Linked DNA regions of Coturnix japonica. The protein of the gene in region 1 interacts with the protein of each later gene in a pairwise test. Links are inferred from orthologs where the notes say so. Each region holds a gene or a part of one and is shown on either strand. Other genes may lie near its edges.

Region 1 (15,329 bases):
CTGGCAACAAACACCTAAAGTGTCTATCTACACAGGACGCTGTAAATAAAGACTTTTAAGTCCTGGCTTCTCCAGCAATTTGCTCAAATTGTGAGCTCTCTCACAGGCCCCCATCCTTGGCAAAAGCAGAGATGCATCCCTGCTTTCCAGAGCCATTTAAGGGCTTCTAGATCAGGCCTGACGGCCAATAGCACTGGTCCTGAGAACACAATGAAGAATAGCTAAGGAGCTAAGCTGCCTGGTCAGGTCTGAGTTCCCCACCCAGTTCTCTCACCTGTAGTCAGAATAGGCCCCAGGGCAGTAGAACAATGCTGTGAATGGGGTTCGTCCCCTGCAGATGGTGTCCAGAGTTAACATAATCCCGTACAGGGAGGTGAGCATGAAGAACAACAGTGCAAGGATGAATGCATGGTGGTTCTGCTCCCCTACACAGCTGTTAATCCTACAAAAAGGGAAAGCAAAAAAAGATTACTTCAAGGGGAGAGAAAAAATACGTTGGCTTCTCTTTCCTCTTCCCTCCCCCAGCCACCAGAGAACCTGATTTCTAAGGTCTCTCTGCAACACAAGAAGCTTCAAAGCAGCTTTATAGCTTTTTATAGAAAGCTTCTAAGCACAAGTCAATAGACCAGTAAGGTAGGAGTGGGCAACTGTGTACTCCAGCAACCTGCAGGTACCAATAGCTGAAACACTCATACCTCACTGCTCCTTGGTTAGAATATTGTAGCAATGACAGCTTTGGGTTCCCCTACATAGATCGAAAGGGCTGACAATAGCAGGACACGGGGAAATGGTTTTAAGTTAAAAGAGAGAAGATTTAGGTTGGATGTTAGGGGGAAGTTCTTCACTAGGAGAGTGGTTAGGCCCTGGAACAGGCTGCCCAGGGAGGTTGTGGATGCCCCGTCCTTGGAGGTGTTCAAGGCCAGGTTGGACGGGGCCCTGGGCAACCTGATCTAGTAAATGTGTATGTTTGGTGGCCCTGCCAGGCAGGGGGGTTGGAACTACATGATCCTTGAGGTCCCTTCCAACACGGGTCATTCTGTGATTCTGAGATACACAGATGAAAAGCAACCCCACTTCATAAGATCTGGGGAAAAAAAAAAAAAAAAAAAAGAAAAAAACCCACCCAACTTAAAAGAAAGAAAAGCAACAAAAAGCACATGCCTTTGGCAAAGCCAAACGTACCAGACACAGTGATGATCCAGTCTCCTCACACACCTGCCGCACAGCCGGCAGTGCCCCGCTCGGGCCGGCCTGACCAGCTGGCACTTGGCACACCAGTCCATTTTCACACCTTCCCGCCCCTCAGCCAGCGCTCTGGAGTGGCCTTTGCTCTCCCCATTCACAGAATGGCCGCTGGCAGCAGCTCCATGGAGCCCGTTGGAGCTCCCTCGTACATTCTTGCTGGGAAAAGCCTGCTGCGATGGCTTGTCATCAGCCGTCGAGATGGGAAGGTAGCCAGGGTCTTTCTTGGCTCTGGATAAAGCCACCAGCATCAGAATTAGCCCACAGGTGAGAAGCGCCACTTGGGAATACCCCACGTGGCCTCGAGGAACCACCTCCTGGAGAAAGACATAGTACATGTAGCCCAGGGAGAACAGTCCCAGGCTGAGGAAGAAGAGAGTCCGTTCCTTCCTCCTGTGGGTGAGGTAGTAATACCACAGCACCACGGCGGGGAGCGAGGTCAGCACCACCAGCCCCAGCAAGAAGTGCAGAGCCGCGACGTGCAGGAAGACGGGGAGCAGGACCATGGGCGGCACGAGGCTGACGTTCACCTTCACGGCCCCGGCAAACCACGGCACGCGGCACCGGTCCGCGATAGTGTCGGCGATTCTCTCCAGCGCTCCGGGGGGCAGCGACCTGCAGCTCAGCCACCTGTTCGGGGTAAAGCGAGGCGCATCGCTAGCGGCCGGGCGGGCAGACGTGGGTACCTCAGCGGCATCCCCAGCCCTTGAGGCTCCCCGCTGACTCACGGCCGCTCGCCCCTCTTTCCTCCTTCACCTCAAGGGGCCGCAAAGTTCCCCGACGGCCGACGAGAGCCGAACCGCCGCTCTACACCCGCCTCCCATCGGCCGTATATAGAAGGCAGCCCTGTGCTCTGAAGGAAGGAAGGAGACAGAGCGGCTCCCGACCGGCCGCTCCCACAGCCCCGAGGGCGCTACCTGTCGCAGGACTCGTCCAGCTCCTGGCAGTCGCAGCAGCACGCCGCCAGGTGGTTCCGCTCCCCCCTGCGGTCCACGTACTCGCAGCAGCACAGCGGCTCCTCCATCTCCTCCTTCCGTGTCCCGGCCCGAGGGCGCGGAACCGACGGAGACAACGGAGGGAACGGAGGCAGCGGGGCGCGGCCGCCCCTCTCCCGCCCCCCTCTCCCCGCCGCAGGTGCCTCTCGCTGCCGGCCGCCCCCGCCTCCCGCCCCGCCCCGTCCCTTCGATCCCCCCCGCTATTGGCCGCACAACGCCCCGGCCACACCCCGGCGCGGAGGCGGGGGGTGAGGGACCCCCTTCCCTCAGGGCCCGGCCACCTGACGGCGCGGCGGCCCAATGCTGGAGCCGGAGGGGCGGGACCGACGTGACGTGACGGCACCTGGCTTAAAGGCACAGAGCAACAGGTGGAGGAAGGCGGACGGCCCTTTATTCCACCTTTATTCCACAAAGTAGAAAAAAAATAAGAGTCCGAAGATGGTTACAGTCCCTACTTCACAAGTCCTTAAACACACGTCTTCTCTTCTGAGGTGCCGACATTAACTCTCATGGGCATTAACTCTCAGTCTTGCTGCTCTGTGTCTTGTTCAAGTGATCGAAGCTTCTTTGGAGCATGGAAAGGGAGAGCTTGAGCTGTGAAAACAAAGAATTGGGGAGCATGATGCGTTAAGTCTTTGCTCCTGCCCCTTGCAGCAGCCAAAGGTGTTTAAAAAGGCTAATAATGCTTCAGAAACTGGAACTGCTTGGGTAGCAGGCAAAGAAACCCAAAAGGTCACAGAAACCAATTCATTTCTACAGTGAAGCAGCCAGCGAGCTGTGATCAAAAGAGTTAACAGAGTAATAGCAATTCTGTGTGCAGAGACGTCTAAACAAGAAATAGGGGGGAAAAAAAAGTGTTTTTCTCTACCTTCCTGTAGTGTGTGGGAGAACACAGAGCCAACTGCTGATGGATAGAGGTACATGTGAACTCCCCCACAGCTTTCCTCATCTATTAATTTCTTCTGCCATATTTTAAGATTTATTAAAAGAGCTAAAAACCAGAATATTCACGGGTTGTAAATACAAACAGCATTTCACTGAAGGTTTACGTGGCTCTTTGATGCCGTGATTAAACAAAAGCTCTCTGCAATAGCAAGGAGGAATAGCTCAGATTAGCCTGCATGAAGAAACCCAGTGATGAGGTGAGCAAGTAGTTACGTTCTGAGTCTTGAGAATAGATGATCAGTTTTGAATAATTCCAGTCTTGCTTTGTCATGACTCAGAACTGCATCAACAGACCCCATCAATAAAGGCACTTTACAGGTTTAAGAGAATTGATATGAACGTTTTATTTTAGTCCCATGAAAGATCCATCAGAAACATGAACGTTTCCTTTGCATCAGATTCAAGCATAGGACAAAACTGAGGCCAAAGAGGCGTGGACTTTAGTTAGTATCACAAAACATTAAAAGCTATTCTGGCATAAAGGAAAAAAACTTGAGCTGTTGAAAAAAATGAGTATCACAAGGAAAGCTGGGCAGACTTACCTGCTCAAGCATTTCAATTGAGTCTCTTAGTACTCCCTTCACGTGTTTAACCTGTTCCTTATCATATTGAGGGATCTCCTCTTTCGATCCCATTTCTGGGGATATGCTGCAAGAGATTGAGATTGCATCAGAAACATGAAACAAGCACCTCTGTGCCTTTCTATCCCAAAGGAGTTGCTCTGTTACCATTACTCTGACATTGCTAAAAAAACATTGTTTCCAAAAGCCACAGAAAAAGGTGCCAGCAGTTGATTTTCAGTTCCTTTTGACTTGAAGATGCTGCCTCAGACCTTTACAGACAACAATCACCAAGAACAAATGTGCTCACATAAAGCCTGCAAATCTTTCTATGAAAGAAGTCACTCCTATCAGTTCTGAGACCTTCGCAATGGGAGATCACCATAATCATGACCAGGTTATGATTTATGCAAGTAGTGTAGGCAAATAAATAACAAGCAGCAACTTCTGAGCCTATTCCACGTGCCTGAAAGTAAAAGGCATCTAACACGAAGTTAGAAGGGGAGAGGGAATTTTGCATAAAAGCAGAAGCTAAGTGAATCTTCAGCGTTATATTTGAGATCATGCTGGTTCACACAGGATGAAACAAGTAATTCAGTTCTGTGCTCAGCAATATGATATTCACAGCAGATGAGTCACAAGAAGGTAATAAATGCAAGCTATGGTTAACACTTTACCAAGGAAGACGCAATCAGACATGTCACTAGACATCAGCATAGACCACAGAACAGTAACAAGTCATAGCAGCTTTTTAGAACTCACCACCAGGATTTGTTGTTTGAAATCTATTTCTTTCTATCAGATTCTGAAGTAAACTGAGGGAGAATGAAAGCTAAGATTGTGAATTCCACTTACTTCAACGAGCTCTCTTCCTGAAGCTGGACGTGATAGAGGGACTGAGCTGCATGCTCTATCTTTGACAGCTTGAGAAACAGTGTTATATTTAGCAAAACCAGGAGCAGCAAACTGTAGAGACCAGAAACATGAAGTCAGACAAAGTTTATATTATTACTGTTACAGTGCTACAGAAGGAAGAGCTGGGCTACAAACATCTAGGGAAAGAAAATCCTTCTGGGCCAAAAGTAACTGCCCCAGCGCTATACTGAATTTAAAGATTTATCTAAACAATTCTTAGCAATTAGCTTTAAGCTGTGTAATGCAACCTGTAGGAAATGACAACAGTGCCTCCTCTTGGACCTCTTAGAGGTAGGAGTGAAGAAATGTTAAGGATTTTTTGTAGGATCAGACATAAGAGACCTGAAAAGTGGACAAGCTTGATAAACCAGCATTTTAATTCTGTGTGTCCTTTCTGAAATCAATCCACCCCTCTCTTCTAATTCCTGTATTTACACTCCATATGGGTTAGGATTGGTTGTGCTACAAGAAACGTCAACATGCAAGTGAGGTAGGTACAGGCAGATAAAGACCAAGACAAGTTAAGCCATGTTTTAATGCAAGTAAGTACTTACAAGACACTCATTACTACAATGATGGTAGTGGTCCTACTAATAGCATCTCTTTTCCTTCCTATAGGGCATGGAAGAGAAGGTGGTTAAAAAGAACTGAAGAACATTTCTAATGCATATACACATCAGTGCTCAGCATTTTGTACAGTATAGCGTCACAGCTTCTGATGGACATAACAGAACACTTGGGTGCACAAGAGTCTCTCCAGAATTCACTTGATGCACTTGGTCACTTCTGTAGCCATCTCAGGCTGATCTCCTAAACAGTTCCTTACATTCACATTCCTTGTCCTAAATGAGGAACATGTATCAAAGCTGCTGCAGCATACACTGAGAAATACAATCTCCAAGGCAGAGCAGGAGTGGCAAAATTAAGCTTTCAGGAAGTAATCTCACCGGAGAACAGTGGTACAAAATCCACCATTCTCTGGTAAACATTAGTGAACCAGATGTTCCCCATCTCTTTAAGCGTAGCTAATATTGTACATGCCTGTACAATACAGAGGCTAAGTCTGTCACGCTTAGCGGCACAAGTACTCCAAGAAATGCTTCAGTGACCCAGAAGCTAAAAGAAGAGACAGAAAATGGACTCTTTAACATTACCAAAAAATGTAAATTTTAGCATTTCACTCCATTTTCATATCAGAGAAAGTAGGATTAAGTTTGATTTCATGACATATAACAACATAATAGCTGACTGTGTGTGTTCTTGGTCTGTTTTATGCAAGGCTGAACAGTCTACACATCTTCTGTCACACCAGTTAGATAAAGACGAGAGCAGCATACGCACAAGCACTTATCTTGCATTATTATAAAAGTTAAAATTTCTCAGGCAAACCTTACAGAAAATAATGAACGTAAGAATTCCTACCTATGATGCTACCCTGGGACTCTAGCCCCATGTCACCAGATGAGTGCTGGGAAGAGCGTTTGGGAAGTGATTCTGCCAGACTCCGGTGTAAAGTGCGTCGTCTTCGCCTCAGGGCGACTAATTTTCCAGAGTCTTCTATAGACTGGTTAATTGCATACTCCTCCATTAGCAGTTCTGATTCTGTAGTGGAAAAATAAGGTTCCTGAACTTTGGAAAGGAACATTGAAAAGCCTAGCCCTAGTGACTTAAATTGTAAGTGATATATATATGTGGTGGTAATGAGAAGAAAAAGCGCATCTTCCAGATGAACTTAAATCAGGTAATTGACATAAACCACATCCCAACCTACACAGTCTGTCCTCTTTGCTATATGGCGCTTGTACACTTTTCAGATATGATCTATATTCAGTCTATGCAGGATTGTTTAATGACATGTTAAGCAGCAGTTGGAAGAACACTTCAAGACACTGTTAGACTGAGACTAAGAATTGTGTTAGACTGCGAGCCAGCAGCCAGAGCTTGGCCAGGCTGTTAACAGACATAGCCAAGGAGCCTGCCAAGTGCCACTACTCTTCTTCTCATACCCACAAGCAAGGAAATACTTGTGTTAAAGACAGGGGCACACAGTTGAGAGTAACAGCTTTCCTCCCGCTCCTCATGCATCCTTCAGAAAGCAGTTGCTGACAAGGTATACAGGAGTTTTTGGCTACCACGGCTATTTATGTTTACACACTCCAGAATTGACAGGTATATTGATGACAGGAGATTCTTTTGTATGCTGCCTTCTTTTCAAACCATTATTTAAAGAGTCAAGTTTGACATACGTGAAAAAACACAGAGGAAAAAACGTAGCCTCCTGACTTCAGTAATAAGAAGAAAATGCCTCACCAAGTTGTTTGAAGTTCTCCTGTATCCCTCCCCAGGTGTTCTTCTCGATTACAGATTTGACAAGGCCCCAAGGCTGCTTTTTGTACTTTACTTCTGCAGAAACCCTAATAAACAGAATGCAACAGTGAAGAAAGGAAGAAAAAGGAAAAGAGGGAAAATACACAGTGCATTGTTAGGTAGCACAGTGATAGTAGAAATCTCTCTTCAGAGAGAAGCCTCCAGCTTACATCCATTGCCTGAAATATACCTGAAATACCAACTGGAGCTGTCTCAACTTTCCACCTGAGCAGCTCTCACACTGAAGTGAGGCGAGAAACAGATGCACGCAAAGACAACATACCCAGTGAAAGCCTCAGGAGATCTGAATGTCCAGATCACTGGAAAGAAATTAAGTTTGTCTTCTCTTCAGGTTCAGAGTTTCTCAACCTGAATTTCTCCTCTGTGAACTGTTCTGATTTTAACAAGCATTTGAAATAGCCCTGCAAAGCCCCGCTTTTTACTCTGTATGCGCACTCATGATATAATATGTGGGGCACAGCAATATGAGCATGTGAAACTCATCACTACCAACTACGCATCCAGTACTAAGAACCTACCTTGAGTAGATAAATTAAATTGTCTCTAAAGGAGCACAACACAGGGAGAATGGCATTCCTGATGTGTTTCTCAGGTTATGCTGGTCAGTAATGCTTCTAGAATGGAAAAGCACTCAACTAGAACCCTGCAGAGGGCTGCTTCTAACAACTGAACAAATCCCAAAGCTCTTCATAAAGGGACCAAATTATAGTCCACAATCTTTATTTATTAAAATGAAGAACACTAACCTTACTGGAATACACGCTTCTCTCCAGCTTTTTCATTTAATCATCCCAATCAGCATATGCATGCCAAGCTCCTACTCTAACAAAACAGCATATTTCAATAAATTTCTGAGCCATTCCAAACAGCATAAAGCCAGCTGTAATACTAGCATGCACGTTCTGTTCGATATAAGCATGCTACTTATAGTCAAACCCTGGCTTTTGCACTTATCCTAGGGTTGTCTCGTGCCTCAGATAAAACAAATAAAGCCATCAAAAAGGAGTAATGACTCACTCAGTCATTCAGAGTGGCTGTTCAAGGACTTTTCCTTTTTCAACCCAGTGGGGGAGGGAGTCTTCAGTACTTTTATAGCCAAGGATAAGCCAGAAGGAAAATTAGGCTTGCTTACCTTTCCTTACCTTATGTTCTGATGAAGTTTGAGATAAAAAGACTTGAAGAAAAACTACCAAAGATAATACAGTCTGTCACACAAATGCAGTGGACAAGTAACTTCATCACTTCAGGTGTTTTCAACAGGAGAAGAGAAGGAAGTGTCTCAAGTCTCCTCCACCTACCCTGATAGTAACAACAATGCCTAATCTGCTTGAATTGCCTCTCTGTAACAATGAGTGTGCTTCTTCACCTTGTAAAATCATTCTCCCATGCAGGCCATTAGCGAGGGTATCTCAAACTTTGTTAGAAAATATCTGGCACAGTTCTAATTTATCTCACTTATATGACTGCACTTGAAACCATAAGGCTGGGCAGAACCAGCCCACAGCCACAGAGATCATCTCTTATTAGTGTAAGCAGACATATGACAGGAGATAAACCAAGATTTTTATTTACTTTTTTTCCCCCAGAAGAGATTTCCAACTTCAATAGAAAACAAACCTTTTCTGTGCTGCAGGAAGATCTTTTGGTAAGCACATTTCAGCAACCTGCTTCCTCCCCTCCCACTGCACACCACTCAGGCTCACCGTAATCGACATTTGTGACTGGACGTGCGGCTGATGTAGTATCGGTTCACAGTGTAGAAATAATCATGGTAGGGGACATCGTGGGTCAGCACCTCAGCATCCACCTGATAAGACTGACCTTTCTGGCTCTGCTTATGCAGGATCTACCACAAAAGATAACAGAAAGGGATGGGTATATTCTGTATTCATGGGTTTTATTTCATTTTTTTTTTCTTCATTTCAAACCAAACTGCTTAGAACTGCTGGATCAGCCAATTCTAAGTGAACTGGAATAGATAGAAAGACCGAACAACTGTGACAGAAGTCTATTAAGAATGGTAAGAGTAGTGAGGTGGGATGTCTCCAACCAGACCCAGCACAGGAGGTAATAGTTCACCATTCTTCTTCTCCACTGACATTTCAAATACCAAACGCAAGACTGGCCACTGACTCTTGACCACAGTTCTTTGGGATTGAGCTGTGAGCTATGTTTCCCAAGCCATAGGCACAGAAATATTAAGGTTAGATCTGGTCCAAGCCACCTGTTCAAGCAGGGACAACTAGAGTAGGTTGCCTAGGACTATGTTCATCCGGCTTCCAAGGAAGGAGACTCTATAACTTCTGTAAGAAACAGAGGTTTGCTTTTGGTTTGGCACCAAGCACCACTGAAAAGAACTTGGCTCCATCTTCTTACTACTCTTCCCTCGGGTATTTATGTACATCAACAAGATTCTGCCTGAGTTTTCTCTCCCGCAGGCTGACCAGTGCCAGTGCTCTCAGCCTTTTTCCCATAGAATTACTGTTCCAACCCTTTATCTTCTAGCTCTTCACTGGACACTTCCCAGTAGCACCACCCTCTCTCATACTGGGGAGCCCAGAACTGGACTCTTGAATGCACTCTGTTTCATCTTTTCTGACTGCTCTAATTCGTACAACTGGTCAACACTGCTCTCCCCAGAGTTTTCAGTAGAAGTTCAGCCATGTTGAAGTTCAAATGCCCCTTTGATTTAATCAGTACTTATTCAGTAATAGTGAAAGGGATAAAAGAACACCTTCTGAGATATTACATTTGAATTGGAGATCCACATTCAGCTCAATGAACTCCAGCCCATGATCAGATCTGACAGACTGTACAGCTCTCCTTTGCTCAAATGGCACCAAACAGACACACATACAGACAAGTACCTGCTTCTCAGTTGCAGTCGTAAACTTCCCACAGAGTGGATTGTTAATTGTTACAGTGTATGTCAAAGTCCTCAATTGATTGCCACTGGAATCTCTATTCCAAGGGGTTGATACAGCATCTAAATGACAAATTATGCAAATGCACATGCAGGTCACCCAAAAGGCATCATCTCTGCCCTGTCATACCTTAAACTGCAGTTTAAGAACAGTGCAGAGAGGGAAAATAAAAGCAGACTTCAAGCAGTTAGTTGTAGTTTTTCTTTATTCCTCCAGGAAAAGGGAAAACTGTAGTTCACTAACTGAGCAAAAAGTGAGTCAGTAAGTAGCTGAATCTGAGTCTAATGAAAGAGGCTCAGGGTGCGGAGAAGAGTAAGCAAGTAAATGAAAACGTGCTGTTTCCCATCTGCTTGGAAGTTCAATAGATTCACTTAGCAATATTCAAAAGCTTTTGCAACTTTGCCTTCCAAGCTAATACTGAATGAATATTACCCTTTTAACTTAGTTTTCTTACCTTATTATCTCAATGAATAAAGCTTACTCATCCGGAAAATTAAAGCCTGCAAGTAACATTTAAGAGGCTGCAATAATTTCATCTGTGCGCCAGCAATACAGATTTTACTATTTCTGGGACACAATGGAATCAGAAATACCCCACAGAATGCAACATTTTTAATATCTTACTCAAAATTCAGGCATCAAGTGCAGGGCTTTTTTTTTTTGTTTTTCCTCTTAAACACCATTAAATGAAGTTCTAATTCAGAAGCACGATCGATCTACAGAAACAAGCTAGCTTTTAATGTCTACTTCCACAGAGGAAATACAGAGCTGCAAAATTCTTTTAAAGCAGGAGGAATAAAAATCAACTCAGTTCTCCTTAACATTTCTCAGAGGTTGAAATTTTCAGGGTAAACTGCAACACGGACAGAAGGAAGAAGAGTACATTACCTACTATGCTCCTGGAATTGAGAAACCTCTGCATGAAGTGAGAATTGGTGAAGAGGATTTCGAACATCTTGTCTGCAGTGATGTGGAAAACTCTGTTTATAAAAAGTCTCCCATAGAGATCATTCTCAGAGGCAGCCTCCTTCACTGCTACAGAAAGGCAGAGGGATCAGGTTAAAAAAATAACAACAACATTATGAAGTTTCTTCGTAGCATTAAACTTTATTACAGCTCAAATCCTTTCTAATCTTGCATCAGTAATTGCTTTTTATTCCCAGAAACCCAGAAATGTCAGCAACACATCATTTTGTAATGAGATGGCTTTCAGGAGCAAAGTCAAGAGCTGGTTTTCTAGACCACTTCTCACTATTTCCTTATACAAATGACTTGATGAATCAACAACGCAAGGTCCTATCACTTGCTGCTTGTTGGTTCCTGGAATGGCTCTGCTTTGTGCCTGTTTCAGCCACTCTCACAAAACATACAGAACAGAATTGTTATCCTGGAGGGAAAGCAGTTTCCTATGCCAACCCCAACTTAGTCTGCTTATGCTTTAGAAAAGAGTCCATCCTCAGCTATCAGTGAAGAAGAAAAAGCCAAACAAAGCCTAAAATCCCATCCCCACCAAAAAGCCTGACAATAAATCTCATGGAAGCAAAAGAAAGATAGGACACCTAACCTTTCAAATGATATAAATAAACACCCAGAGCAAGCAAAGGTCATTGCCAGCACACAATGCAAAGGTAGTCTGAATATCATGCTACAGTTCACAAAGTGCCCATAGGCTAAGGTTACAGCACTTAAATCGCTATTATTTGGTAGCAGTCAGTATTGATAAATGCAAGTACATCAACTAAGTACCGAAACAGAACTCCTCAGGGAAAACCAGTTCTGACTCTGAGTGGACTTCAGCTCTAGCACTGCTTCTAGCCTGCTAGAAGTCCCCATTACATATATACATGTCCCCAGAAAAGGTAGCAGGTAGCTAGAAGTTCAGCTTCAGTTTTCAGCTTATGTTCAGAATTTCCCCTCAGAGCTGAACCTGCCAAAACACAAAGCAAACTGTCTGCATGACCTCAGCTAACGAGGCCCCAACACTGCAGACCTCCTACCACAAAAAGCATTCCCCACTTCCCACCCTTTGCTAAGAGAGAGGGGAAGCTTCAGATGTGCTGATGCCTCCATTGATTACTATGCATCAGCTAATTCATATGGAGCCAGACAGTAGCTAATCCAAAGACCATCTTTTTATTACTTTAAGGTCTGTACCTTGCTACTGAAATATTTTTCACTTTAAGCATGAATCTCTCCTCCTTATACTAAGGCTCAAGCTAAAGAGCATCCACGGGTCTCATAATGCTTTCACTTATGGATGAATTTCTGTTAGCTGGTTTGCCTACACCTACAGCCTGGACACCCTTGTGATGGCCTGAAACATGCATGTATTAACACCCGAATTCCACACCAGCAGCAGCTGGTCAGTGCAGGTACTGAGAGCTTGACAAGTCACTTTCATCTTCTTAGAGCACCTGCAGAAATCCTCCACGAAGCAGTGAGCACAAACAGCAACATAACTACAGAATAAGTATGTACGTTACACACTTGCAATCTGGACAGAACACACAGCTCAAATACGCTCTTTTGCTACAAATAGAAATGCATGTTTGTCTGTTTCCTTTGGTTTAACTCATAGGTAAACATACCTACTTTTTATTTATCACAATTCCAAGGCAACGTCAAGCAATTTACCTAGAATTGGCTTAGAAATACTATTTATAAAAACATTTATCTTCTTGCAAAAATATCAGTCTAATCCCTTAGCCTTCAGTGCTGTTCTAACCCCTTAGCAGTATGCAATTACCAGCTGTTAACTCTCTCACACTGAAAACATTTATAGATGAATTGGAGATACTGTCTGGTAAGATAATATGAAATTACTCTGACTGCGGGTTAGGATCCCAGGGACCCAAAAATCCAGAAACAAATATTACCCTGAGTATCCTTGTTCTAAATAGAGACAGCAAACCTGCTCCCTCCCCCACTACCGCCTTGCACTTTGTAAGGTCACTTCCATCACTGCAAGGCAAGCTTGTGAAATACCGTTTGCATGTAAAACCATTACGCACCAGGGATTGCAGAGGTTTGAAAACATCTGCAGTGTGAGACAAGGAAGAGATGGAAAACTGGAGGGGAGTAGGGGGAAAATGGCCCAGGAAAGAAAATCCTGCTCATTGATTTCCCACTAATAACCAACAGCTTGTGAAGCTAAATACATGCTGCAAGCAAATTAAAGCTGAACCAGTAAGAACAGAGGCTATCCAACTAATCACTGAGACTTCTAATTTGTTCACTCTGTGGAGATGAGGGAGGGTCAGGGGAAAAAATAAAGTACATACACAGCTCTTGGCACTGCCTGGGATTTCGGTGCCCCTGGGAATAGGGGGAAAATTGCACACTGTGTGAATAATGTGCAGGTCAAAGACTTAAAACAGGCCCACTTCAATAGAAGTCAATAAGGCCAATTTTTAGACGGAACATTTTCCAGACACCACCTATTTAAAGATTGTGTAGCAGTGTTTGGCGTTATAGTAGAATTCTACTATATTTTAAAAGACCAAAGTGTTAAATTAACTTAGAGGAAGTACTGAGAAATATTGCTATCTTTTTCCTGCTCACAAGATAAAACTTAAACCTCTCATCCTCAGATATTTCAGAACAGATAACTCTCCAAACACCTAAGCAACAAATTATTAGTAGCTATACATTCAACAGAACATGTGCTCTCAGGGTTTTAATTACAGTGTCAACAAGGCAACACAACTACCCTTCTGTATACAAGGCTGTATATCCAGAATTTCACCTCTTGAAAAGAACAGGGCTGAAATAACTTCAACCAAACTATTTCCAACATTTTCTGCACCACGTACCCCTATCTGCAGGAGAAGTTCAACCACCATTGCACCCATCTCACAGTGTTAGTGCACAAGCAGTTATGCTCTCCTGCAGACCATGCGTTTGAGGTGGCTATTAATACACATAGAAACAAAACAGTATGTACAGTTATTCAAGAAGATCAGGAATTTATGATGTCCCCACACACAGCAAATGCTTTCTACCACAGAAGACCGTTTCCCAGCATCTTATTGCTCCCTTCTTTGTATAAAGTATTTTATGCTGCTGAGCATTGTAGCCGCATGTAGAAACTCTATATACAAAGAAATCCTTTGAGGAAACTCAGAATCTGCTGCTTCTATTTTGGTAATACATATTCTGTGCTTGAGCTAAAATTTATCTTCTGAAACATATAATTGAGACTCCAGATATGAACTTCTAGTTCAGCCAAGAGTTTGTCACGACTCAAACTTTATCACACTAATCTATGTAACCAAACAAGAGTGCCACGATACAGGTAGCAAAGCCTGTGGTGTACAGGGTTAGACTCCCTTTCCTAGTATGCAATGTGAAAATTGCCCAGGATGAGAGAGCTACTTGCCAAGGCTCTGGCATTCCATCTCCGGGTGTCAGGTGAGCCTGAAATTAGAGAATAACAGCCTTGAATTTGCTCTCACCTTATTTGCCAGGTCACAAGAGAGATTAACTGCATGGGTAAACCTTTGCCGTGTGGGTAAGCTAATTTCATCTGCATGAAGGAATTCACCTTGTAAAAGTATAGGGCAACTGCGATAGGAAACAGACAGGAAAAAATTCTAGGCATGAAGAAGGGAACCTGTGAGAAAAGATTGATGCTGTGTAACTTGAAAATCCTGCTCTGAATAAAAGAGACATATGCTGGGGGAGGGTGGAGAAATAAAAGCAGTGTAAGTTCAGTTCTCTTTTAAAGAGACACCTCCAGTTTCTTATGCTCTCTTTGCTCAACATCAGTTGCAGGGATGGCAGCTGCTATTTGCTGCTATCACTTAGGCACACAGTCCTCTTGTCTTTGTGCTGCTATTTTCAGTCCATTTCATTGGATACCTTTACTATAAAAAAACTCCAAAGGCTGAAAGAGTACAAAGACAACAGGAAAACTGCAAAATATCTCAACGCCAGAAGGCTGAAGCTTTCTGCAGCCTTACAGGATACAACTGAGACTGAGTAAACAACCTGTAAAGCTTGTTAAATATGTACAGGATTAAGCAGCAAATTGCTCAAATACACAGACTCACAAAAATGATACAGCTTGACACGTATTGAGTTGAATTTGAACTCGAGAAAACAGAAACAGTACTGGTGAGCAAAAGGAAAGCGAACTGAAATATAAATATGTCCTCAGGCAAAGATCACAACTTGACAGTGGGCCAATTCAATCGATTACTCTGAAAGCTTTCCTAGATACCCCACTGATCCCAATTTAACAGCATCTGCAAGCACCTTCAATTGTCGACTCTGAAAAAACAAGATGTGGAGTTGTTCAGACAGAACTTTCTGCCAACAGGTGATGAAAGTTCCTTCTCTGCATAAGAAAGAAAGTTAGC
Region 2 (16,681 bases), on another chromosome or scaffold:
CTGTGGTTCTAGCGGGAGCCCACAGGGCAGTGTAGATGTCTGGTGGGAGTTTCACCTGGGAATTGTTTCTAACATCTGAATTTATGTATGACAGAATTGCTTTATAGATTTAAAATTGGGAGTGGACTGTATTGATGCTGAGATCTTAACTGCAGTTTTAGCAGCACCGGGGCAAACATGATGCTCTTAGTTTGTTATGTGCTACAGCTTAATCTGCAGATTCTTCCAGACAGTAGAAAAAAGTTCTTTTTTTTTTCCTTTCCCATCCATTTCCTTTTTTTACAGGCAATTACCTTTTTCTACCTCACCTAAGCAGGCTATTCAGTGCTTCTTTCCTTCTGACTTAGAAAGGTCCTGCTTTCTTAGCGCTGTGTGTCTGGAAACACTCTTTCCTCATGGCTGCCTGGCATGCTGCACAGATGGGCTCTGAAAAACCCAAGGATTTAACTGGATTGTTACCAGTCTGTACACCAGCTCCAAGCGATGCATCTCATGCACAGGGGCTGCAGGGAGCACTAGAAGCCAGATGATCGTGTTCTGTTTTGTGTCATTACACCGTCATGGTTCTGAGAGTGCCTTTGGTTTTGCTGGTGCTCAGGTTCCGGAGTATCACCAAGCAGTATTTCCGGAAGGCGGATGGGATTCTGGTGATGTACGACATTACAGCTGAGTGCTCCTTCATGGCAGTACGGAACTGGATGAGCAGCGTCCAGGTGAGAGCGGGGCTTGGGCTTTCTATTGCTGGCAGAGCTGCCTATGCCTTGCTCTGATCTTGCTCTGATGGTCTGACTGGGATCAATGCTCCCAGAGGCCTCAGGAGGTCCCTGGGGAGATGGATGCACAAAGCAGATGTTATGGATGTACTGCCTGTGGTAACGTGTATGGAACCAGGGGCTTGTTGACGGTATGGTGGCAGCCCATTAAATGAGGAGGGATGGCAGAAAGCAGTGGAACCTGCCAAACAGTGGTATGTGTGAGTAGCTGGTATGTGCCGGTAACATCACCAAACATCTGCTGTCACACCTATAATTTAAATAACGTTGTGTACAGCTGGCTCAGAGTTGCAGGGAAAAAGTGTCAAGAGTGGTTTTGCTTTGAGATCGTGTTGTATGTCAGAAAACACATCCTAAATTGAAAGGATAAGCATAGGTTGGAGGTTTCTAGTGCTGTAAATTTCACAGGCCTGCTGGGCAAGGAAAAAAAAGCTTATCTGTTTCTCTAGACTTCATAAGATCAAAGGTTAAGATGTGTCAAAACTAGACTCTGGAAATCAGACTCCTTTCTGGAGGGTTAAACTGAGCACACAGGAAAACAAAGCACCCAAAATGTGTAACTTTAATCATTTCTCATCTTTTCTTTCTTTCATCTTAGATTTTTTTCTTGCTTCGAAACCTCCGCTGTTCAGGTATTTTAAGTCCTCCAGAACAGTCAAATATGGAGATAACTTAAGCCTTATTCTGCAGTCTTACTATGATGATGCCCTAGTGGAACATAGGGGGAGTTTCAGCTTAGATAATGGGCTCCAGGAGTTGCCTAGGAATAACAGGTGGTAGTATAGAGACCCTATGGCAGCAATGAAAGCTGCTTAACCACTTACAGTGCCTTTCAGGGAAGTGATGGTTGAGTTCAGGATAGCTCATCAGATGAATAGTATCAAATAGAAAACAAAAAGGTTTTAACCGAAGTCCTGCCTAGTCTTAAATGTAGTTTGCCCCATTAAGCTGTTGGAGTTTTCTTTTGCCTTCTTATTTTCCAGAGAAGAACTTCTTCCATGCCTTTCCTCTCCTAGCATCCCAGCTGTACACAGCAACCTACTGAAATAGATTCCCATGGTTTAAGCTTCCCTGCACAAATCCCTGGGGCTGCTTGAGGAACGGCCCTTAAATGAGCTTAAAAAGCATATTGTGGCAGCTCCTTCAGGGACCCTAATCCTGCTGCCACTGAAGTCAATGGCTGTGCTCTTGTTTTGTATGATCTGGAGCAGGACCTGCTCCAAGAAATGTCTGTCCCTCAGTGGAGGCTCTGGGGTGTTTTGCTGTGTTTCTTTTGCAGGAGGGCATTGAGGATGGAGCTGTGGTTTTTCTGCTTGGAAATAAAATGGATACCTCAGGGAGAGAGACCCGGAGTGTACCCAAAGTGGAGGGGGAAAGGCTGGCCAAGGTGTGTCTCTGTGCTCTCCTGCTCCACTTGCTCTACAGCCTCCTTCCAGCTGTGAGCTGGACTGGTGGAGAGCCCTTCTTGAAGCCATTTCCCAGTATGGTGCTTTCCCTCTCAGCCCTCACTCTGATACAAACATGTACCAATGTTCCTCTGGTACCTGCCCTGCTTTCCTCCCTTGCTGCCTCTATTTGTGTGCCTGCTGCTACCTTTATCCTCTCATCTCCGAGGACCCTGTGGGGAGGGTTTCAGAAGTTTTACCCATCCTTTGGACTTAGCAGGATGAAAGTAAGACAGTCCACTTATCCCAAAAGGATGGTGTTTCTTCCTAAACACCTCCCACTTGTTACCTTCCTGACGTTCTATCTGGGCCTTCAGTTGCTGAAAATGCATCTCATGTTCTGGTAAGGTGGGTACAGCAGTAGCAGCTACGTTGCTGGCCACATGTGCTGTCATTAGAGTTTCTATTGTCAAGGTGGGTCAGTGCCCGGGGGTGTGGATGAATGCTGGGGGAGAGCTGGCAGCTGACTCTGCTGTGTTCTTTGGCAGGAATACAAGGCTGTCTTCTATGAGTGCAGCGCTATGACTGGCTATAACATCATGGAGCCCATGCTGCACATGGCCAGGTTAGTGATGAGAACAGTCACTCTGGGGTATTTCCCCAGCTGCAGTTCACTGGTGGGCTCCTAGGGAATGGACAAGAAGAAATGCTGTCAGACGCTGACTTTATGCTGTGTCAGTAAATAGACCTGGAGCAATAGGTTCTTCCACACTGACTCCACAGCCCTGTCTTCTGTGGCTGGAGAGTACCAAGCATAGGCTGGATGTCATCACATGCAAGTCTTCCTCTGGCAGAGCTGGCTGCTGAAAGATCAAGAGTTTAACTTGAATATTACATCACAAAACTTGGTGTGCTATCCCAAATTTTAAGCTGGCATTTTCTATTTGCAATCTACATGCATCTCTAAGGAGCGGTTCATCCATACAGAACGCAATGTTTTGGAAGTAATATGTTTATTGCTGAGGACAAGGAAGGATAAAACACCTTATAAAGCTGAAGGAAGCTTGCATTAAGATTTTTAGTTTTTCAAAAAGAACTTGTGTTTGTTCTTTTTTTACTCTTTGAAATCTTGTAAGAAAAATATCCTTTTTGTTTTCTTTTATCCCTCTCCCTCCTGCTGTATCACCTCTGTTAAGCTCACAGCAGGACTTCGGTGTTTATTAACTGTGATGATTTAAGTAGATAAATCTTGTCTCCCATAGCACGTGCTTTCAGCTCATTTTATTACCGTGCTGCTGCCAGGCATTGCTCAGAGAAGTGAAGAGAGCAGCTTGAGGTTCTACCATCAGTGCTGGAGCTTGGAAACAAGTCTCAGGCCACTCGTGTTCAGTCTGGTGTTCTGAGTACACCACGCTGCTCCCTCTTGTCCATGTTCAGTTCCTTCCTGTTTCTTTGGAAATTCACACTCATTTTCTGTGTGTGGTTTATCTTGTTCAGCTGCCAGAGGCAGCCTGGGCACTTTTTACAATCCTAAACAGCCTGATGGCTGATGGGAGAGCAAAGGGCACAGTCAGATGCCACTGCAGGAAGAGCTGAGTAGTTTGATTTTGTTCTTGATCTGTGCTGCCTGTTCCAGGTTGCTGACAGCACAAGAGGACAGGCAGAGGGAGAACGCCCTGCAGCTGGAAGATGTCAGGAGGAAAGGGTGCTGCACATAAGGAGCATCGGTATGTCGGCAAGAGCCAAGTGTGGGCACCATTTCATGAAGCTGGGATTCCTTCTGAGCAAGTTGAATCTGCTGGTATCTGATCTGCAGAGGTTTAGGGAAGCTGCAACTTTTCCCCATCTGGGAATTTCAAGGCTCTGAATCAGGGCAGAACGTGCATACGATCTCTACTGTTCCCTTCCCTACCTGCATGTCCAGCCCTGGTCATTGGAGGCCTCTGATCTCTTGGGGGAATTTGGCAGCAGCATCTTTGTTCTTTAACAGCACAGTCCAGCTGACAGCCTGCTGAGGTAGATAGGGAAACCTTTGCCTGTACTTGTAAGATCTGGATCAGGCTCTGTACTTGGTGGGAAATCTGGTTTGACTTGCCAACATTGTGGATAACTGATTCCATATGTGGATATAGCATGAACTGCTAAAACCATTCATCCCACTGGCCTTCTTCACTGTTACCCTAATGAACTTAGCTACTCTCCTCGTACTGTTCACAGAACACAGAGCAGTTGCCTTGGGACTCTCAGGCAACTGTTGTGCTGGCATGTATTGCTGTTCCATAACGTGTTGTGGGAGCTGTGCTGTATCTGCTGGGGCCATGTGTAGCCTGTTTTAAGGCTGAATGCTGCCTGTTTCCTCCCATTCTTTTATTCTTTCCTGAAAGGTCTTCAGCAGTTAGGAGTGGATGTATCCGCAGTACTGAAATATGCACAGATCCCACCCTGCTGGCCTGACAGCAATGCTTTGAAATGTACTTGGGCTGGAAGCATGAGGCGGCTGCCTCAGCTGCAATGGGTACATAAATGCATAGGCCTGTATTTATCCACTCTTTCCTCTCATGGGATAAGGCGATTACTCTGGTTCCAAATAGCTGTTTACTGCACAAATTTCTCTGGGAATATTCCATGCAGGAAAAGTGTTCTGAATCACTTGCTGCATTACACAGACTTTCCATGGTTCCTCCCAGTGCCATTTACTTCTGGTAAGGAAGGGGAAGCTTCTCTGTGGAAGAGCCAGGTTCCTGATTTAAAGGAATAGCCAAAAGCATTAAGTGTCTGCTCAGTACTTACTGCTGACTGTGATTCTTGCTGTTGTACAGCTGGTGGATTTAACTGCACTAACTGACCAGGAAATAGTACGTTATAAGAGGTCCCTGAAGAAACTAGGGCTGTTGGTTTTGAGCTTAGGGTAACATCAGCAGTGCTGCCAGTGAAACTGCCTGTGTTTGCAAGGATGCTTGGGAAGTGAAATCTCTGTTCTTGGAAAACACAAACCTTTAGACTGCCCTGTACCAGATGATTGCCCAAATGCAGGTGTGGATTTTGTGCATTCTAACCAATGCAACCATGAAGAAGCACAGACACTGTTACCTGCTACATCAGTACAGCTCACTAGCTGACTCGGAGGAGCTGCTGTCAACGATTCATTTGCATCGTGCTCCAGTGGTGGGTTAACAAGGGCTGGCAATAAGAATTGACATCTGAAGTCTGGGCACATGGATAACACCAAAATTTACCTGCAACAGCTGGGCAGGAGTTTGGAAGCTGCAGCAGAAGACAAGCGTGGTATCTTATCTGCTAACATGGTTTGAATGCGCCACTCCCACACTGTGTAAAAAAAACACATGAAAGATAAAGAAGTAAAACACACCTGGCACACAGGTACCATACAGTATGTGGTAATTACCTTCCTCCGCACTGTCATTCTGCTACAGGAGGAACTACCACGTGTTTAGTTTTGTTTGTTTTTGGTTGGTTGTCCTTAATGTACAGTCTTGAGGATGTTTTCTTAGCGGGCAAGGAGTGTGCAGGCAATAAAGAAATACTGTCGTGCAAACGGTTGTGTTGAATTTCTTTTCAGGAGTTGCAAGAGATTCAGCCTCGCTTGATTGAGTTGCCTGCTGCAGCATGTAGTGCTCAGGAAGGGCTGAGAAGTCTGTTCCTGGTGTTGGTACATATAGGAGACTTCTAAGTAACAAGCAAGGAGTGGACAAGAAACACTTGTTTCCAGAGAAGCACAGGAGCAATTCATCTGCTGTCATCTCTTTTCTCTTTAAAGCAGCCAGGATCTGGATGATCAGGGAAGGCAGAGCAGAGGGAACTAAGGAGATGCTTCCCCAGAGCCTTCAAACACAGCACACTGTCTCCTTGTATCTATGCTTAAAGAACTAGACATATTTAATAACGCTCATGCATCCTGTTCACCAGTAAGGAGTTCCATAGCTCTTAGTCCTCATGCTCTATATTTATTTCCATACGTCACTGCCTTACAGAACTGTCTATCCATAGCTCTGGCCGCAGAAATTATTACTCATTTCCCTTGCTGTAAACAAGCAGCACCAGAAGTAGCGCGCTATGACTTTTTTTAGCAGGAACAGGGTGAACTTTTGTTTTGCCTATGAAAAAGTGGCACAGAGGTTACGCACTTGGACAGCAGTCAGCACTAGGGTGTGTTTTATACTGGATGGTGTGATGGTGTTTTAGTGGTTTTCTGGACAGTATTTACATTTCCTATTGGAAGACCCAGATACTCACAACCAACAGAAGCAGAAGAGCCCTTGGATGAAAATGGATGTAATGGATGAAAAACAGACTGCCTGAGGGTTTATTGCTGCACTGCATTGGCTGCAGTCTCTTAGTGGACAGGTGACTTTTTGCATGTAATCTATAAAGAGAGTATATTTCTTACAGCCTGGAAGCCTATCCTGGCACATGCAGCAGTGCAGCTGTGTATACAATCGGGCAAGGAGCAAAGAAGAAAAAAAAACCAGCTGCTCTGACAAGCCCCCACAGTCCCACAAAGCTCTTGCACGCAGACAAGGGGACCCTCCTTTGCCTTGCATTTCACTCATCTCTTTCATGTTAATATGCAAAGGATAAACATAACAGGATTAGCCTGACAGCACCTCTTTGGCAGGCCAAAATAGGGATGAAGAGAGAGCATTAAGCTGTGGTGCTAAGTTTAAAGCTTTCCCACGGGACGAATGAAGGAAGTGCAAAGGCCTTGGATGTGTGTTTGTACCTGTGACTATGACAGGTGAGACACAGGCAGGAGAGCTCTGGGAATGATCAGTGGTATTGCGAAAAAGCCCCTATAAGAGGTTAGATGAGGATCCTGAATCTCTGCTGTATTAACACTACTGCTTCTACTTTAACACGTTGGGGACATGACAGCATCTTCCACCCATCTCAAGCACCGCCTTCTTGTGGCTGGAGGCTCAGTGGGGTTGACACAGTGCCTGGAAAGAAACTGGGCAATGCAGGACCCTTCTTGCAAAGGCTCATCATCAATCAGTGATACAAAGCATCTGCACCCAGCTTTTGGCTGTGGCTTTATGGGGTGCCTTTGCTCTTTCCAGGCAAGCTTGTTCCTCAGGTGCTGCACATAGGAATTTCACAACTGCATAGTGGCTCGCCAGTTGCCCTAGAGCCACTTTATTCCAGCAGCTTAAACTCCAAGAGATCCATCCACACACATTTAATCAGTCCCTTTGGGTCTCTCCTGGATTATTTTCTATTCTATTACCCTCTACTGTTCATATTTTTTCTCTCTTTTTGCTACTTAATTACTTAGTCCGTATGTAAAACAAACGCTTCATGTCTGGATATAGATGTATATTGAATACTTTATTTGAAAATCTCTTGGCTCCAGTAGATCCACAGTACTGCAGTTCAGCACTTTGGTAGCTCGTTGAGCTGCTGTCAGTCTGCTCATTACTTATCTGCCTGTTAATGAGCCATGCTGAAATTTCACTTGGTGCAGCTACAATAATCTGGCTCCAGACTCCTTGGGCCCCCAAGGCACACTTTAGACATCTCAAGCCATGCAGTTTAATACAGCCTGATTCTGCGAACAGAAGATTAGCTGCTTGCTTCTTTTGAAGTGAACAGGCCACAGTAGAACTGGCTAGATAAAATTAGTTGTTTTTTTGAGGTAAAGAGATAGCTAATTAAATGTTTACAGAGGTTGCATTTGCGCAGTTCTGAGCAAGAGGTCCTGGTGTGGTGGGGGTTGGTCACTTCCCCTGGGTAACAGTGATAGGATGACAGGGAATGGCCTCAGGTTGTGCCAGGGGAGGTTCAGGTTGGATATTAGGAAAGATTTCTTAGAGGAAGTGGTGATGCAGTGACACAGGCTGCCCAGGGAGGTGGTGCAGTCACCATCCCTGGAGGTGTACAAGGAAAGGATGGATGTGGCACCTAGGGATGAGGTCAGTGCGTATGGTGGGGATGGGCTGGGAGATGGACTCAGTCATCTTGGAGGACTTTTCCAACAGAAATGGTTCTATTTAGTGACTGGGTACATGGGTCCCTAGTTAAGCCAGTGGAGGCCAACACCCCGTAGGCCCTCATCTGGCCTTTTCCCTTACTCTCTGCTCAGCTCTCACCCTAAAAAGCTGTAAGCCCACTGAGGGGAGTAGGTGGGTTCTCCCTTCCTACAGACCCCAGCAGGGCCGGTAACTGCGGTTTTTGGACTGAAGTTGCAATGAGGTAATGGAAGCATGAGGCAATGCGCCAGTCAGGGCTTGATCTCGATGTGCAGGACGCCTCTAAAAAGGGAAAGGCTCGGGAAAAGAAGAGCTCGCGTTGTTCGCAATGCGGTGCCTGCGGCGATGGGAACGGCGGCTGAGGTAAAGGCGGCGGGAGCCAGAGCTCGCTGCTCCAGGGCCGCGCCGCTGGCACTGCAAGTGGACACAATTCGGGGTGCTTTGTTTTGCTGTAAAAGTGGTTTATTTTATGATATTTCTCAAAGCCGAAGGGGCACCCACAGCCCACGCCAGCCGCCGGGCGGGCCGTACTTGAGGGCTCGCTGCCGAGGCACCGCCCGCTGGGCGTCCCGGGGCTGTGCCGTGCCGCCCTCATCCCGTCCCTCCCCGCTTCCTGCCGTGCTCCTTTCCCTCCCTCTCTCTGCTCTCGGCAGGTCGGGGCTCGAGGCGGAGCGGAGCACGGCGGTGCGGCGCTGCCGCTGAGGGTGAGGCGGGGAGCCCCGAAATGGCGGACGGACGGACGGAAGGACGGGGTGTGAGGGGGAAGCGGCGTGTGGGACGGGGAGGGGAGAGGGGGGAGGCGGCGTGTGTGTGGTGGCCGTGGTCTCCGAGGGCCGACTGTGGCTTTGCAGAACTTCCCGCAGGCTTTTCCAGTTCGAAAGGTGTTTTCGTGTCCTGCCCTTAGTTAAACTTGTAGGGCTGCTCGAGGCAGAGGATGGGGACGGCGGGGCCGACTATGAGTCCAGGCGGTGTCCCGTTGCCTGCACGTGGGGAGCTGTATCGGTGCTGCTGAGGTTGTTGCTGTGCTGTGTGTCCCTCTCCCGGTAGGCTTTGCTTACAAAGAATGCAAATTGCCGCACGTTTAACAGCAAAGTAGAGTCTGGTTCTTCTCGAGGACATCGATGCTCAACCTGTTGCAGTATCCTGCTGTATTCTGACAATTACTTAGCGCTAGAAGTTTAGGCTAGCCCACAGCATCCCTTAAAGCGCCCTTCCTGCATCTCCCTATCTGCCTTTCTTGCTATAAGAGCTCAAGCGGTGTCTGCTTGAACAGGAGGTCACTAAATGCCATCACACACCAGAGCTGGTGACCGGGGCAGCCATTTTCTTGAACCAGTTTTGAAACAAGTCCTTTTGTCAAAACACATTTCTATTGCCATGGGTGAGGCTGTTGCTTAGGCTCCTAAGGGATCTTTGGTGCTATAGATGCTGTCTGGGTGTACCTGGAGACTCTCTCAGACAGACGTCCTTCTCCGTCCTGCTTGACTATTACTGCTATCAAACGGTGATTGCTTGAGATGAGGAGGGCATAGCGTGGCTCTTTTGAGCTGTTACAGGCTGAGGTGAAGAGGAAAGGAACTGCTTCAAATATGTCTCAGCACTGAGCGACTTTGGTCTCAGTAAGTCTGGCCATGGGCAAAATGAGTGACAGGCTGAGCAGGACTGCTTGGGCATGAGAGGTGACTGAGTTCACTTAAAGCGAGTGCCTGGTAGTCCTTAACATAAACTGGGGTCTGATTTCCTAGCATAGCCCCAGGCTTTCATGACTAAGGGAGCTTGGGAATACTTGAGGCAGCATCACTTAGAGTTTACTGGAGGCATCTGATGGCAGGTCCCTGTCAAAGAGAGGTGTCCTGCATGTGTGGGTCTTTGCTCTGGCTCTCTATAGCTGCTCAAAGATGCTGGTATTTCAAGTCAGATATCCTTGCTGAGAGCTTGGGTTGTGAGTGGGAGCAGCTGGCAGCCTTTGAGCTCCTCTGTGTAAGTATCCTGATGTTACATCCTTGCTCTGTAGTGTCCTGATGCCCTCATGTTCCTGTTATGGACATCTTTTTGTCCGTATGCCATATTTCTGCAAAAACATCTTGTTCTGAAACTTCAATCAGCTACTCAATGCTTGTTAAATAATAGCCTAATTACTTGGTAGAGTCCTGTAATGGGGGAGAATCACTGGTCTCAGTTGCCTGGTGAAAGTCCTGGCAGTCCCTGCTCTACGTTGGCCTCAGTAAACAATAAGAACATATATTTTCTGTTTGTTTGGAATAATGTCCCATGTGTGACAGTCGTTCATGTTTCACTCTGGAGTCCAAACTGGTTAGTCCTTCCTGCTGTATGTTTTTGTTTTGCGTGTGCTTAACAACCACATTTCCCTTCTCTCAAGGCAGGTGTACTATGGGAGGACTTACTTTTAATGTCAAGAGCAGAGCGCTGAGTAGGAGGAGCTTTGATAGCCTGATTGGAGCTGTGGCACTCCTTCTCTTGAACCCATTACAGAATCCATCTTCTGAGTTACCAAAGAGCACCACTCAAAAAAAGATCCTTCATAGGTACTTTGGCTTGTGCAGCCTTATGCAGAAGGAAAGCACCGTGCCAGTTTGAAAGCGAGCAGGAAACAGGCACAGCAATTTGGCCTAAGTCTCTGAGATAAACATGACCACATTTCCTGCCCTTCAGGGTTTTGCTCAATGATTTGTGCTGTCATTAGCGCTGTGTAGGATGAACAGCAGCAGCCCTTTGCAGCGTTGCTTTTCCTTTTGCTGCCAGGTAGTTCTACTAAAAGCAAAACATGGCTTGTTCTGTCAGACTGCAGCATGGCACGGGGGAGATGAACTGCCTCACTTCAGTCCCATTGACTGCCAACCCTTTGCAGCTTGTGCAGCATCAGCAGCTCTGCTGATCAGTGTGAGATTTTGTGGCTGTGACCCCTGCTAGCACAGTTTGGCACGCTGTCCTGCCATGTACTGCCTTTGTTGCTCCTGCTTGTCTGCAGAATTGCTGTGTTCCTCTCTCTTTCCATGGCCCCTTTTCTTCCTCCAAACAGCAGACGACTAATCCAGCCTTAAGCGAGTGCTGCCATACTGCTCTTGTGCTGGCTTACGCTCCATGTTGCTTCTTTGTGAGTACATTAAAGCATACATTGTCCAAGTCCTGGCTCTGCAAAGGACATTTGTGTTGTGGCCTCCTCAAATTTTTGCCATTGGGTGTGAGAGATTCTTCAGCAAGGGGGTGGAAGAAAGCTGCTTGTATCCCTTTGTGAAGCAAAAATGCTATAGGTGGGGGTGGCTGATGGCATGGTATCTATCTGTTAAGACGGTTCCAAGGAACATTCCATATTATTCACAGCTAGTACTAATATAGTATACTGTATAGTGTATTATATAAGTATAGTACAAATCTGTGGCTGTTTTCTTTGCACATATACAGACCAAGGAACAATTCTCTTGTTTTGAGGAAGCCCTGCAAGGCTTGTGAGCACTGTGTCCTGTAGTTGGTTGACCACTGGTAAATTCGCTTCTGTGAAGCCTGGCTTCTGTTTCAAACAATCTTGTCTGGCATTTCCAGGTCTCTCATAATGCAATCATGCTGTTCCTGTGATTCTTCTTGTGCCTTCTGCCTAGGAATAAAGCTTTGAAAGATAAAATGTGGAAGTACCAAATGTGAAAAACAAAAAAAGGGAAGCTTTGCTGTTTCGTGTTCCAGTCTACTGCTGCTGTCCTTAGTGGCTTTGTCAATCTGTCTCTTTAAAGCTCATGAACAGACCCTCCTGCACTCCCCAGCTGCATCTCTGCTCCTGGACTTGACACTGGGTATCTCCAGCTGCTCCCTGACCGCTTGTACCAACAGCTGAGGTTGGAAGACTGGAGGGAGGTTGTCTCCTGAAAACTACAGTGCATCCTTAGCTGTGAGGAATAGCAATCAAGTCTAACTGGTTGTTTAAAATCTAAATCCTTCTGGTGAAGACCAGGTCTCCTTCCTTCTCTCTTCTTCACCTTTCCTTTCAAACTCTGAGCACTGTTTTTCTCTTGCTGCAGCAGGCTGCGCTTTGGCAGAGCTCTCCCCCAGAGCAGTGACCATCACTCCAATCTGGTAGAAACTCCCCTTTCCTTGTGCCTGAAGCTCGAGTGCAGAGGGAAAAACTGGAAGAGAAGGGCTGCAGGATGCAGATGAGGTGATTTGTCAGGTCTGTGGAGAGCACCTTGCACCATCCCTCCCTCCTGAGGGCACAGAAGACATTTGCTGCCAGCTCTTGGCAGACATCAGCACTGTAATAGCAGCACTGATGAGCATCTCGGCAGTGCTCTGCTCCTTCCCGCCTGTCAGGCTCCTCTGCCTGTGATCTCAACAGCCTGGCATCCGGGGGAATGTTTTCAATCAGTCCTATTAATCTTGAGTCCTGGCTGCTATACCGTCATAAAATTCTAGGCAGCAGAATGAGCAGGAGGATAATTGCTGTTTTACCCTCCTGATATTTCATGCCAAAATAAGAGAGGTGGGAGCTGTGTTTGTATGTGAGCGGCTCAGTCAATGTTTCTCACACCAATTGCTCTTGCTAGTCAGGTGCTTGTGGTTCTTCCCTGCTGGCTGGACATGTGCCAGGGGTAGAAAGGATGTAAACTTAAGTAGCTGGTGGCACATGTATGTGTGTATAGCGTGCACTTTTTGATGGCAGCAGTGCTGGATGGTAGTGTTGCTCATCTAGAGGGATGGGAAAGGACATCAGGAATTAATATTATGCAGAGGTTAATGGAATGCTTAGCAGCTATATAACTTCATTTGGATATTTTGACCCGCAGCAAAGTACAGACAAACACCGTAGTGAGCCCCATGGTATGAACTGTAGGCTGCATCCATGCGGGCTGCCACTGAGTTGCTTATCATACCTATTGCTGAGCATGAGTGTAAAGGCGAGAGTGCATCCAAGTGAGGATGTGGGAAGCAGCGCGGTGAGAGGAAACAAAACAGATCTGGGGAAAGGCCAGAAATGAGAAGTGTGGGAGGTGTGAGGAGGGATGTCGCTCAGAACCACAGGTTGTTCCTGCTAGTTCTCCCGACAAAGGCCCATTATTGCTGAGCCAGAAATAGGTGACATCAAACGCTTGGCACTGGCTGTTGTTTCTTATCTATTGTTTGTACTGGGTCTGAATGCAGGAGCAAAGTTCACTTTTGCAGCCCAGGGAAACAGAACAGAGCAGGGGGAGCTGGGGCAGCAGAAAGAGTTGCCAGGCTCTACCTGGATATCTGTACTCAGAGTTTATCCCTGTAGCTGCGGAGCGAAAGGTGCATGCTCCTATGAAGCTGTGTGGTTGTGCTGAAGTATGCAGCAGGTTTCCTATATGTCTTTGCTGTCAAAGGATTGGGACAGGCTGGAAAGAAGAAATACCTTCTGGAGATCTGGATGAGCTGAGATTATATCTGATACTTCACCGTAGAACACTTCCCCCTTATGTGGGAGAAGTAGACAAGAGAAACACCAAGAGGCTAATTACTATTTTGCACTCCAAGTACTGTGTGCCAGATGGAGTTGGGGTTTGGGGTCTGAATCGTGTTTGGGTATGACCAGCTTGGTCCATGTTTCTAACCACAGTTCCTCTGCCTGCTCAGGTGGTTGTGGTTCTCCCATGCCAGCTGGAAGAGTGCAGTGCAGGTCTGTAGGTGTGTTTCAGGTAGCAGTGCAGTCAGCTCGATGAAGTGTAGGTGGCTCCTTAGAGGGATGTAAGCATAAGAAGCCACTAGTGGAAGCAGATTGTTGGTATTGTGGGCAGTCAGGAAGGTTAACAGCTTGGCAGCTGGTCAGATACAAACTATGGCTTACCAGCCTCATATACACAGAGGATTTTAGGCTTGTGCTGGCTCTGTTTATTTAGACTTTCAGCTATGTACATCACCCAGCAAACTGGTCACTTGTGAATGTAACTGGACTGCAAACAATGGATTATTTGACTTTTCCATTGGTTAAATTCACTTCAACCAAGAGGTGTCTGGGGTGGGAGTTTCTGAAGGGGGGGGGGGGGGTTCTGTTGTGTTTGAGCCTTGATGGATCTGTTGTCTGCTAATCTGCCAGAGCAAAAGCAGCAGTGTCTGCGTGGTTGTTTTTAGAGTGCTCTGTTCCTCAGTGACCTCAACAGTTCAACATTAGAGGAAAATAAGGGGGAAGCACAGATCCAGTCCTTTTTGCACACTGTGGGAGCCAGCATGTGGATGCCATTCATGCTGGCATGTCTGGCATGCCAGCCCGTGAGCGTGGAGGAGGCAGGCGTGAGTCACGGCTTGTGAATGTCAGCATCTCTTCTTAGCTTTAGTGGAATCCAGAAGGGAGGAATTCGTGCCCCCATATCATCCCCCATGTTGCCCTGGAGACAGAGGTGATGTTTCTTTTTGCTTCCTGGTGGCTGTACGCTGCAGGCTGAGCTCCAAGGGTGACTGCAGGGAGCCGCCTATGCGGTCCATCTGTTTCTTAACTATAAACTCCGCACGTGTTTGGGGAAGTGTTGGGCTTTGTGCTTGTCAATACAATTCGTTCAGCACAGGAGGGGTGGGTCTGGTGCAGTGTGGGAGCACCTCTTTCTATGTCTGGGGAGGAAGAACTGTTGGGCTGCTAACTGCTGTGCCTCTCAGTTGGGACTTGCTGCTGAGAGGGGAGTGTACAAGTGTTATTGCTCAGCTCCTGTGCTGTGCTTAGGGAATGAGTCTAACAAAGCCTGCTCTGTTCATTGCCTGTTTGTCAGGGCTTTCCTCTGGTGTATTCCCAGGCAGGAAAAAAAGGGAATTTAAGCCACTATACTTATTAGAGGGGTAAAATCCATTGACTTCCCAGGCTGTTAGCCTTGGAGTTGGTCGGGGTATAGGGGAAATGTGGGCCTTGATGGTTACTCCCATTTCTTGAAGTGTTTTTTTTGAGTCCTCCTGGTACTGGAGAGTTAATCCAGTTTGTCCCAGACAGGTAGGATGGACTACTTGAAGCCTTTAAAATTATAACCTTTAAAATAGAGGGAAGTCAAATGAGATTATATGGTCCCTCTAGATGTGAAAATTGGCTCTGCCCGGGGGGGGGGAAGAGAGTATTAAGTATCAAACTCCTTTTAAGAGTTCCTGTAACAAGGCTTGCTCATACGGTGCTGGAATCACCTGGAGGTGTGTTGATGGAGGCAGGATTTTTCAGCTGCATCTGAAGAACAGCCGTGGTGTGCTGACACCTGTTAGAGGAACAAGAAGGTTTCTTACCATTTTCTTACCCCTTCCTGTTCCAATTGAAGCAGACAATACCGATGGAGACCTGCCAGAGCCCAGCGTGTCTGTGCTGATGATAGCTCTGCTCCCTTCATGAAGTCACCGTCGGTCCTTTGCCTGTAGTTTAAGTGAAGCAGCGTGGATTACCTTTGTGTGAGTACCCAGTGCTGCTGTGAGCAGCTCTAGCTGATGGCTAAGGGTGTCCTTTACAGCCCTGCTGGAGTGTGCTCTGGGCCTGGGGACTGCTTTTCTGCCTTCAGCCTTGGCGAAGGGCCAGCAAGTAATTGCCTTGAGGACAGCCCTCTCCTTCCAGTTATTTATTCACATGCTGATGCTTCCCTGTCAAGTTTGCAGGCCGATCTAAAAATAGCAGCATAAATGGCTCTGGTGGAGTCCTTGAAGCCTGTTGTACAGGGGGAGAAACGTTGTATTTTTGGCTGGGGATTGTTTGATTTTTGCTGAAAGAATGATCCTTCCTCAGTGCAGCCTCATGCAGTGTGGATTGGGTGTTTTCACTATTGCTTCTATGGCAACTGGAAAAGAGGCAGCTCCTATGGACTGGGCTCTCAGCTCCAGAAAATGAAAAGTCACTTAATTTGCCCTTGGTTGTGCTTGATATTTGATCTGGCACTAGTGGAGTGTTTTTAGCTCTGAAAAGGAATAGAAGAGTCTTTCAGGCTGTGAGACCGTTGGACTTTGTGTCATTGAGAAGCAAGGGACGGTTACATCAACCGCCCATCCCCTCTTCTAAAAACTGCTGGTCATGTTTTTGCATTTAAAATCCCAAGCATTCATTTGTGAGCTAATTCATTTATTGGTTTGGTCCTAGGACTGGCGTGGTGACAGGGAGGGGAGCCTTTGTGTGCATTGCATGAAAACACTGAGGACCCGGTGGTTTTGCTTCTGAGAGCTGAGCTGCAAATGACAGTGTAATTAATAGGAGGGGATCAGGAGGAAAGCTGATTCTGCACAAACTCTTCTGTTTAGAAAGGTGGCTTAATGCTACTGGTAAATTCTCCAGCGCAGACAAAGCCCTGCTATTGAAAGCAGAACAAAACCCAGTGCCAGGGAACAGAGATGGGAAAACAGAATTTATAACATCAATGGTAGGCTGCAATGAACGTGGTTTGTCATGTCTGTTGGTTAACTCCGACCTGTCTGAACTGTTGTTCCTTATCCCAGCAAACTCTCCTTGCTGGGAGCTTTCTGCAAACACAGCCCAGCTGCTGATTTCTGGCACTTGGAGTGCAAAAGAAAAAAGGCGGCTATTGTTCTACCCCTCAGTTCAATGACTGGTGAAGTGGTTCCT

Evidence for each region.
Region 2: the proteins of GRAMD1C (region 1) and CD151 interact in binary tests that used the Homo sapiens proteins (3 or more experiments, as listed by UniProt). The link is inferred for Coturnix japonica from reciprocal best matches to the Homo sapiens genes GRAMD1C and CD151.

What each region holds. Positions count from the first base shown.
Region 1 is NC_029516.1:74,438,606-74,453,934, forward strand, and holds the end of GRAMD1C (protein Aster-C), read right to left. Parts: intron 11,005-15,329; coding exon 10,858-11,004; intron 10,032-10,857; coding exon 9,913-10,031; intron 8,892-9,912; coding exon 8,749-8,891; intron 7,072-8,748; coding exon 6,968-7,071; intron 6,260-6,967; coding exon 6,080-6,259; intron 5,270-6,079; coding exon 5,212-5,269; intron 4,709-5,211; coding exon 4,598-4,708; intron 3,831-4,597; coding exon 3,725-3,830; intron 2,832-3,724; coding exon 2,754-2,831; 3' UTR 2,607-2,753; downstream 1-2,606. Other genes in the region: palmitoyltransferase ZDHHC23, read right to left, coding at 275-442, 1,183-1,872, 2,160-2,266. UniProt on the Homo sapiens protein: Cholesterol transporter that mediates non-vesicular transport of cholesterol from the plasma membrane (PM) to the endoplasmic reticulum (ER).
Region 2 is NC_029520.1:8,904,543-8,921,223, forward strand, and holds the start of CD151 (CD151 antigen), read left to right. Parts: upstream 1-8,736; 5' UTR 8,737-8,849; intron 8,850-8,880; exon of another isoform or gene 8,881-8,897; intron 8,898-16,681. Other genes in the region: CRACR2B (EF-hand calcium-binding domain-containing protein 4A), read left to right, coding at 599-713, 2,053-2,160, 2,707-2,783, 3,795-3,876. UniProt on the Homo sapiens protein: Structural component of specialized membrane microdomains known as tetraspanin-enriched microdomains (TERMs), which act as platforms for receptor clustering and signaling.